Macaca fascicularis: one gene and its partner. The protein of the gene in region 2 interacts with the protein of the main gene of each other region in a biochemical or structural test. Links are inferred from orthologs where the notes say so. Each region holds a gene or a part of one and is shown on either strand. Other genes may lie near its edges.

The links. The genes of interacting proteins can lie anywhere in the genome.
Region 1: the proteins of FGFR4 (region 2) and FGF19 form a complex in vitro, tested with the Homo sapiens proteins (2 studies listed by BioGRID and IntAct). The link is inferred for Macaca fascicularis from reciprocal best matches to the Homo sapiens genes FGFR4 and FGF19.

The regions. Positions count from the first base shown.
Region 1 is NC_088388.1:4,953,573-4,958,624, forward strand, and holds the start of FGF19 (fibroblast growth factor 19), read left to right. Parts: upstream 1-1,686; 5' UTR 1,687-1,832; coding exon 1,833-2,064; intron 2,065-2,326; coding exon 2,327-2,430; intron 2,431-5,052. UniProt on the Homo sapiens protein: Involved in the suppression of bile acid biosynthesis through down-regulation of CYP7A1 expression, following positive regulation of the JNK and ERK1/2 cascades. Stimulates glucose uptake in adipocytes. Activity requires the presence of KLB and FGFR4.
Region 2 is NC_088380.1:184,007,133-184,012,031, reverse strand, and holds the start of FGFR4 (fibroblast growth factor receptor 4), read right to left. Parts: upstream 3,291-4,899; 5' UTR 3,147-3,290; intron 2,764-3,146; exon of another isoform or gene 2,219-2,763; intron 973-2,218; 5' UTR 920-972; coding exon 829-919; exon of another isoform or gene 582-828; intron 147-581; coding exon 1-146. UniProt on the Homo sapiens protein: Tyrosine-protein kinase that acts as a cell-surface receptor for fibroblast growth factors and plays a role in the regulation of cell proliferation, differentiation and migration, and in regulation of lipid metabolism, bile acid biosynthesis, glucose uptake, vitamin D metabolism and phosphate homeostasis.

The sequences.
Region 1 (5,052 bases), on a different chromosome or scaffold from region 2:
ATTTACCACGGATCTTTAAAACGAAAGCTGCAGGGGAGGGTAATTAAGTTTAATAGGAGCCGCCGTCGATTTAAAGCCACAGGGGGGAAGTAATTAGATTTAACAGAAGCCACTGCTTTCTGAACCAAGACACACAGCGTGGGGGTCCCTGGTCTAGAAAGCCTTCGGGATGATGTCTTTTTGTAAAGACTTTCCTGGTGACATTTGCTGCGCCCTCAGTCATTAACGCCAGTCACTGACTGGGGGATGAATGTGGCCTGTGCTCATTGAAATTCATTAGGCCTGGCATTTCTCTCGCTGTCTCTCCCGTTTGCCCTCCCCATCGCCTTTGCGCTGGGCCAGGAGGGCTCTGCCCCAAAACCAGCCTCCTGGGGCCCCACATCTAGGAGCTGGGGGTTTGGAAGAATAACAAGAAATAATTAGAGTTAAGCCAAACCCCCCTAGGAGGACCCCTTTATTCCCCGCCAGGGTATTCTCTGGATGTCCTTTTCTTTATTTACAGGAACCACTTCATGGAGCGGCCCCTATTTCTTTCCTCACCTGGCACATGCCCGGAAGCCAGGGGCGCCCATCACCGTTCCTTGGCCCCTTCCCGACCCCTCCCCACCAGGTAAGGCGCTCTCGACCTCCCCGACCGTGCTGTTCCCCCTGACCCCGTGCGCAGAGACTCGGGGACTGAAGGACCAGACCCCCGACACAAGACAGCTCAAAAACCGGGAAACGGAGGCCCAGGCCTCCCTCCCTGCGCCTCTGCCTCCATCACCCTCCAGCCGAGAAGCTGGGGTTCACCAATCCCGCAGCTGGCCCGCACCCCCTGCCCGAGAGCCTTCTTCCCAGTGCCCCCTTTCAGGTAGCATCTCGGGCACAGCCGCGGGGCCGGGGCGAGCGCGGAGCAGGCAGGGGCGCGCGGCCAGGAGCGCAAAGCCGAGGCCGACGCCGAGGCTGCGGCGCCACCTACAGTCCGCGCGGCTCCCATTGTTTCCCGGCCCGCAGAGAGCGCGCCCGGCCCCCCGTCGGGGGGCAATTTACCCGGATAAAAGGGGCGGGGCAGGAATTGCAAGAAGATGAAGCTGGGAGAACCTGAGACGGTCGGAACTGCGGGGGGAAATTCTATTGGACGGCTTTGACGTCAGATGTGCTGGGCTGGGAAAGTCGGGGGAGGGAGTGCGAGTGGCCTTTTAAGGGGAAGGACCCTAAGGCCGAGGTGAGGCTTTTACCGACTAGAGGGTGAAGGAGGCAAAACTCGGTGCCCCCAAACCTCTGACCCCGGGGTTCCTGACCCCGCCCCTGCTGGTGCCCCATGCCGAGAGCATCCACTGGGAGCCCGACGCCTGGGGGAGGGGCCCCAGTTGTCGATTGCTTTGCAAAGTCAAACTCTCCCAGCCAAGAACCTCGGGGCCGCTGCGCGGTGGGGAGGAGTTCCCCGAAACCCGGCCGCTAAACGAGGCCTCCTCCTCCCGCAGATCCGAACGGCCTGGGCGGGGTCACCCCGGCTGGGACAAGAAGCCGCCGCCTGCCTGCCCGGGCCCGGGGAGGGGGCTGGGGCCGGAGGCGGGGTGTGAGTGGGTGTGTGCGGGGGGCGGAGGCTTGATGCAATCCCGATAAGAAATGCTCGGGTGTCTTGGGCACCTACCCGCGGGGCCCGTAAGGCGCTACTATATAAGGTTGCCGGCCCGGAGCCGCCGCGCCGTCGGAGCAGGAGCGCTGCGTCCAGGATCGAGGGCCACGGCCATCCCAATCCGGCACTCACAGCCCCGCAGCGCATCCCGGTCGCCGCCCAGCCTCCCGCACCCCCATCGCCGGAACTGCGCCGAGAGCCCCAGGGAGGTGCCATGAGGAGCGGGTGTGTGGTGGTCCACGCCTGGATCCTGGCCAGCCTCTGGCTGGCCGTGGCCGGGCGTCCCCTCGCCTTCTCGGACGCGGGGCCCCACGTGCACTACGGCTGGGGCGACCCCATCCGCCTGCGGCACCTGTACACCTCCGGCCCCCATGGGCTCTCCAGCTGCTTCCTGCGCATCCGCACCGACGGCGTCGTGGACTGCGCGCGGGGCCAAAGCGCGCACAGTGAGTGCCAGCCAGGTCCCCCGCCCGCCCCGCCCCGCGCATCCCACCCCAGCGCCCTTCCTTCCTTTGCCACCCTTAGGCTCCTGCGGACCCCTCAACTCCTGGGAACCCCAGGTTTTGGCACTTGGGCGTTAGGATCCCTCCCTTAGTCCCCAAACGGCGCGGGACGCTAGGGAGAGGCACAGGCTCGTGGACCGACCGCACCCACGTGGTGCGAGCCCCGGGGGTCCCGGCTGCAGCTTCTCGCTTTCCCTGCGCCCAGGTTTGCTGGAGATCAAGGCAGTAGCTCTGCGGACCGTGGCCATCAAGGGCGTGCACAGCGTGCGGTACCTCTGCATGGGCGCCGACGGCAAGATGCAGGGGCTGGTAAGTGTCCCCACGGGGCGGATGCGCCGGGGCGGGGAACCAACGCCTGTCCCCGGGCGGAGGCCGGAAGGAGAAAAAGGCGCTGGTTCGAATCCAGGGTTTTCTCGCCTCCTCCGACCAGACCCGTGTGCAACTTTGAGGGAGATTGCAAAGACCGATTAAGTGCATGTCCGACGATTTTCTACTGAAATTTAGGGTCTCAGCCAGTAGCCAGAGAATAGGCAAAAGCTGCCTTTGCATTTGCAATTGAGTCAAAGGCCGGCCCAGCCGGACCGAGGAAACCCATTATTCGGCCTCCTTTGATATTAAACAGGAAAACCCACCTCGGGCCTTTTCAGCCTCTGCCTGCGCGTGTGTGGTCCTCGCCTCCGTTTCCCTCCCTCCAGTATAAAAAGAAGAAAAAAAGAACAGGAAAGAAAAAAGAGGGTCTACCCATAACTTTCCTTTAAAAAACAAATCAATTGTCCAGCAAGGCAGAAAACAGTGCATTTGGGATAGGCGAGTTTTTTTAGAATTAATTTTTAATCTACCAGGAGCACGATGTGGCTTAGACGCAGATGCGCTGGAGTCAAGTTGCGCCAGAGGCGTGCTTTTCCTCCTGCGGGCCTCACCTGTCCTGTAAACGCTTTCTGGTGGGGGCAGGGGGTGGCGGCTGGCTGGGAAGGCCCAGGTAACCGCAGAGGTCCCGGGGCCGGAAGTGTACGAGCGCTGGGGCTCTGGTGGCCCTGGAACAAAGGCTGGGAGTTCAAAGGAACGAACCCGCGCCCCTCCCGCGGCCCCGCGCGCAGAGGAGGCTGTGTGAGGTCTCGGCCCGCGCAGGCCTCACACGCAGCCCCGGACTCCCTGGCGGAGCAGGGGCCAGGGCGGGGGTGGCCGCGCCTGCCCGGGGCCCCCACCCCAGAAAGGATGCAGAGGCGGGGCCGCCTCCAGCACAACCAGCTCCTTTGTGAACAGCGGGACAAAGCATTTTAAGAGTCTCAAAATTGCTCGGTGCTTCTGTCGTGCTCCGTGTACTCAGAGCGCCTGTTTCAGGTTTTATGGCGGAGTCCTGCGTGAGAGGACTGCAGGGAAACGGGGTGGTCGGCACGCTGGACGCTGACTCCCACCCAGAGCCGCTCCAAACCCACCCTTGCAACTTTAATTTTGACATATATGATGGTGGGGGGAGTGCTTCTAATGATGGGAGGCCAGCAGGGGACATCAACCTAACCCGCCATTCTGCCCAAATTGGGGGTTGGGTCACCTGAAATCCCTTTGTGCCTTTTTTTTCTTTTTTTCTTTTTGGCAGAGTCTTGCTCTGTCCCACAGGCTGGAATGCAGTGACCCGATCTCGGCTCACTGCAACCTGTGCCTCCCGGGTTCAAGCGTTTCTCCTGCCTCAGTCTCCCATGGAGCTGGGATTACAGGTGCCCACCACCACGCCCAGCTAATTTTTGTATTTTTAGTAGAGATGGAGTTTCACCTTGTTGTCCAGGCTGGTCTCGAACTCCCAACCTCAAGTGATCCGCCCATCTCGGCCTCCCAAAGTGCTGGGATTACAGGTGTGAGCCACCGGGCCCAGCCCCCTTTGTGCCTCTTGATCCCCTGTGCATGGTCTAACACAGATTGAGGATCTTTCTCTCTCTTTCTCTTTCCTTCCTTCCTTCCTTCCTTCCTTCCTTCCTTCCTTCCTTCCTTCCTGCCTGCCTGCCTTCCTTCCTTCCTTCCCTCCCTCCCTCCCTCCCTCCCTCCCTCCCTCCCTCCCTCCCTCCTTCCTTCCTTCCTTCCTTCCTTCCTTCCTTCCTTCCTTCCTTCCTTCCTTCCTTCCTTCCTTCCTTTCTCTCTCTCTCTCTTTCCTTTCTCTCTCTCTTCCTTTCTTTCTTTTTTGAGACGGAGTCTCGCTCGCTCTGTCACCCAGGCTGGAGTGCAGTGGCATGATCTCGGCTCACTGCGACCTCCACCTGTGGGGTTCAAGCAATTCTTCTGCCTCAGCCTCCCAAGTAGCTGGGACTACAGGCGTCGTGCCACCATGCCCAGCTAGTTTTTTTGTATTTTTAGTGGAGATGGGGTTTCACCATCCTGGCCAGGCTGGTCTCGAACTCCTGACCTCATGATCTGCCTGCCTTGGCCTCCCAAAGTGCTGGGATTACAGGCGTGAGCCACCTCGCCTGGCCTCTTTCTTTCTTAAATAAAGATTCCACATTCTTCTAGAAACTTGAAGTCATTTCATCTTCTGTATGGGGAATGTAATACTTATTTCTCCCAAAGGACAAGCCGAGTAAATAGAAGGAGGTCCTCCAGTTATTCGGTTTTGTGTTCCTTGTTTATTTATCATTTGGCATGTTTGGGAGAAATCGTGCTTGCTGTCCAGTGCTTTGTCCCAGCCATCCGTGGGCTCGGCAGGATCCTGGGTTGCTGCAATGAGCCTCTTATCAGGAGCTTATTGGCACAGGCACATCCTCACCCACCTGCAGTTCAGTGACCTTTGCAGACTTAGGCAGAAACCTGACTGAGGCCGTCCTGCAGTGTGTTTACTGCCCAGCCCTTCCGGCTCCTGCCCGCGCCTGTCCTGGGTCACCAAGGGGTAATGACACCTGTGTGGGATGGCACTTGCCCACTGGCACCTCTCAACCCTGTGGACTA
Region 2 (4,899 bases):
TACACGGCCAGCAGGTGCCAGGCGACTGCCCTCCTTGTACCAGTGGCCACCACGCTCAGCCCGCCCACAGCACAGCCGCACAGGCTGCCCAAGGGCTACTGTCAGCTCCTGCTCTTGCTGCTCCATGCTGGGAGCCAGGCAGGGCTCTGTGGGCAGAGGGCAGAGGTCAGCAGACCCCACAGCCCCATCTGAGGCAGCCTCCTGCGTACAGAGAACACGCCACACATGCAGGGCACAAGCACCTCGCGACGCATGCTGGAGGAGCCACCGCTCCTTGACACCCGCACAGCCACATGCTGCGGATGCCACACCCAGGGCAAATGCCACACTCTTGGGGCATGTCACGCACACAGCATTTAGTGCACATGACACTGGCCAAGACACACACACACACACACACACGGACACACACACACAAGGCACATGCTATCGGTGCCATATACAGGGTCATGCTGCGCTGGGGCATATCACCCTCATAATGCATACACCACACATGCTGCCTGGACCTCCTAGGTCACACATCCAGTGCACAGAACACACACACACACACGCGCGCGCACACACCCAGGCAAGGAGCTCACCACCAGCTCTGCGGCCCAGCTTAGGGCCCTGCACCCTGCGAGGCCAGTCCTCTCTCGCAGACACAGAGATACATGGATGCTTGCTGGAAGCCAGGCACTGACTGAGTCTCAGTGGTTGAGCCCTGCCCTGTTGCCACTTTCTCAGGGCCTGGGCAAGGATCCTTTCCAGCTTTGCTCAGCCCAGCAGCCCCCTCCTGGTGCCCACTCTTCCCACCCCTGCCACCCTCTCCCCCCTCAGAAGCCATACCCAGCTCCACTTCCTCCGAGGCCTCCAGGGACAAGACTGGAGGCCCAGGCACACTCAGCAGGACCCCCAAGAGGGCCGACAGCAGCCGCATCTCCTTCCCGCAGCTCTCAGGGGCCCAGGCTGGACTTCCCACCAACTGCCTTCCTAGAATAGGGGGGGAAAAGAGCTCCTGCTCCACATGCACCTTTGCGGGGGCTTTCCCTTATTTTGCAGATGAGGAAACGGAGACAGGAAGTGGCCAGTAGATGTGTCCAAGTCCCTGGCCAGGCTGTGGCAGTGCAGACTGGAACCAGCTCTGCTGTAGCCAGAGCCTGACGCCTTCCTACAGTAGGTTGTGCAAGGGGTCTGGGCTGGGCTTCCTGCTCTCCTTGAGTCCTGCTGGGACCCTGGCACACGTTCACAGAAAGCAGTTTTGGGATTCTTTTCTTGGAGGGAAGCAGAGAACGGAGACTATCTTCTGCATGCTCTTGGCACACGTAATTTATTTTTTGCTGAATAAATGAATTGATTGCCGAAGAGCCAAAAAACAAAGTGAAAAATGATACAAGGCCAAACTTCAGCATCTGGATGTTATCTGATCCAATCCCCACTCCTTATAGCATTACTGACATTTCCAGAGCTGGGCGCCCACCACTGACAAGGCAGCTCCTTCCGTGGCAAGCAGGACCGCATCCCTGAATACCTCTGCTTGTCATGCACCAACTCCATCCGAGGTACACACGGTTTTGTAAAGAATACAGACCGTAATTATCCATCCACCAGAGCCAAGTTCAAATCCCGACTCTCATCAACTTGTAATTCCTTGTCTCTGTCTCTCTCTGGGTTACTATCCTCATAGGACTGTTTTGAGGATAAAAGAGACAACGTGCATCGGCACTGGGCACACAGAGTGTTGGAATGTTCTTCTCCCTGTGCCCGGCCCTAGAACTGTTCACCTGTTGCCCTGGGTCTGCCCTCAGCCAGTCACCTCCGGTTCGGGTGCTGTTACTGTCAGGCTGTGATGTACACACACCCCAGCTGGCTATCCTCTTCCAAATGCTACCAAGGACACCTCTGTTCCCCAAAACAGAACACTCAGAACCGAGTCTCAGCTGGGACAAAGGAATACTGTGATCACTGCAGTCCTAGGGGCCTATGGGTGGCACTGGTGCCTCTGGATCTACCCTGTGTGGGAAGCCTATCACACCTCCTTACCCTTGGTCACTGCCACTCCACTTCCAGTCCATCTGGCTTCCCCTGCCCTGACTCAGGGCAGGTCATGGCCATCTCTTGCATGGGCCTTTGGAAACATCCTCTCCCTGGGCTCTTCAACCTTCATCTTCCAGCAGAGTTTTAAAAAACTACAAGTCTGCCATGTCATGCCCCCAGCTTGCAAGCCCTTAATGGTTACCTGTGCCCAGCAGGATTCAGCTCAGCATCCTAGGGCTCCCTCTGTTCCGCTGCCTATCTCTTTGGTCACACCGTCTGTCCCTTCAGGAGCGCTGAAGCCATTGGCTCTCAAAACTGGTCACATATGCTCTCTTGCCCATCCCTCTGTGCCCCCCATTCCTCTTCTCTACTTGACTCAGATACTGCTGTCTCTGAGGCCACTTCAACTCTCAAATCCAGTTGGATCCCCCTTGGTAAAACCCCCTACCAAGCTCGGCTTGGCAGGGAGGGCAGCTCTTTGAGTACACAGCTTGGGCTGGGAGTGGCTGGGGAGGCCCGGGGATTTTATTCCTACCCCAGGCTGCCCTGATATCAGAGTCCGTGGAAAAGTCACCCGTGGCTGCTGACCGCTGACCGACCACCCCACACGTGGGAACAGAGGGCCTGCCTTAGGCATCAGACAGCCTCCCGCACTCGCGGTGGAGGCCCCCGGGCGCTAAGTGACTGAAACTTTCGGGGCCTCAGCTCCCTCATCTCTGCCGCCGGCGCGAAGACAGCCGCAGGGACAAGCTTGTCCTCCCCCACCCTTGCCGGGCCAGCCTGGGGGGAGGTGCGAATCAATGGGTCCCGAGGGTAGCTGCACAGGGCCAGCCTGCCCCCGCCTCGGTGGGCAATGAGTAACCAGCTCCGCGGCCAGGGTGCTCTTTGGACGGAGCGGGACAAAAGGCCCTGTGTGCACTGCGGGTTACTGATTTACCGCCCCCTCCACCCCCTGCCGCCCGGCGGACGCCCAGGTCCCCTGCGCCGGGAGGGGCAGTCCCTGCAGCCCCGCCGCCGCTCGCCCCCTGGCGGCTGGGAGCGCAGCCCGGGCCCGCAAGGGTTCCGGCTCACCTCGAGCCTGCGTGACTCCGCGCCCTGCACAGGGTCCTGGTCGCCTGCCTCCTACTCACCTGGCTCCTCTGCCGCCTCACTCCCAGCTCCAGCCGGCCGCGACCCCTGCACCCGGCGGGGTCCGCAGACAGCCCAAGCGCTCCTCAGCCGGGAGCAAGGAATGTACCCGCGACGGCGGCGTGGCCGCGGGCGGCCCACCTCCTGCCCCGCCCCTCGGGCCCGCCCCTCCTGCTCGGGCCCGCCCGCCTCCTGCCACGCCCCCTCGGGCCCACCCCTCCTGGCCCAGCTCGAGCCGGAGAGAGGTGTGGCCGGCGGGGGAGGTGGCCAAGAGCCCCGCCCACCTGGAGACCTGCCGCCGACCCAGTCAGCCCACTCCAGGGACCCCGCCCCAGCCTATACACACACCCCTACGCACACCCCCTATACACACCCCATTCAGGCTCCTCCTCTTTCGCCCCACCCAGGCTCCAGGCCAGGCTTCTAAGTTCTAGTCCACTACCCAGCTCTACTGCTTGCTTTTCACCCCTCAGGGAATGCCTGGCTCCCCTGTCTTCTGCGCAGTACCGTGCAGTGGATAGGAGAACCCCTTCCTTCGGCTCCCTCATTTGTTCTCTGCGCAACCTGGGGAGTGATACTTACAACACAAATCTGACTGTGTCAGCCACTCCCTTAAATTTTCCTATAGCTTCCCATAGCTCTTTATACATAGATTATTGCCATGACCCACGCCTCCTGGCTCCCTGCTACTCCTGGGCAGTTTCAGGTACCATTCCCTCTTCCTGGAATGCCCTTTGGTCTGGTTAATTTTATATTATTCTCAGCTCACTTCCTCCAGGAAGCCCTCCGGACTTGCAAGCTCCTCTTAGATGACTTCTCTGTTGTGAGGATGGAGAAAGAAACAGAGTGAAGTGGTTCAGAGCACAGACTACAGGGCTGGACGTCATAGGCCCAGCTCTCAGCACCATCACACAAGGCCTCGGTCTTCACTGTCTTTTCAGTGAAACAGGCAAATGATAGTCTCACCCTCAAGAGGTTGTTGCAAAAAGTAGATGTGGCTGGGCGCGGTGGCTCAAGCCTGTAATCCCAGCACTTTGAGAGGCCAAGACGGGCGGATCACGAGGTCAGGAGATCAAGACCATCCTGGCTAACCCGGTGAAACCCCGTCTCTACTAAAAAATACAAAAAACTAGCCGGGCGAGGTGGCGGGCGCCTGTGGTCCCAGCTACTCGGGAGGCTGAGGCAGGAGAATGGCGTGAACCCGGGAGGCGGAGCTTGCAGTGAGCCGAGATCGGCCACAGCACTCCAGCCTGGGCGACAGAGCGAGACTCCATCTCAAAAAAACAAAAAGTAGACATGTTAGCAGTATATGTAAGCCTGGCATGCAGCGCTTGCTTTGTAATACTAGTGAAAGGACACAAAGATAGATGTGTACCCGCCCCCCACCCGCTACACCTTTGTTCTGCTCTCTAATCTTTGCACATACCAGAGATTTCGTAAGTTCTGTGAGTACCTGGTTTTCTGCACGTACCAGAGATTTTGTTTTGCACATACCAGAGATTTTGTAAGTTCTGAGGCAAGGTCACAAGACGTGTTTAAGTAAGAAAAACTCTTGCTGCCATAAACCTGCTCTCCCGCCTCAAAGTTTGAACCAAAATATCAGAAATGGCGGGAACCAATCATAGTTAGCCAAATCGCCTTGTTCAAACACTAGCCAATCATATATCTGATTTGTATAATAACTCTATGCCCACTTTTCTTAGACTATATAACACTGCTCGGAGCTCAGTGGGGGAGCTCTCCTGCCTGTCTCGT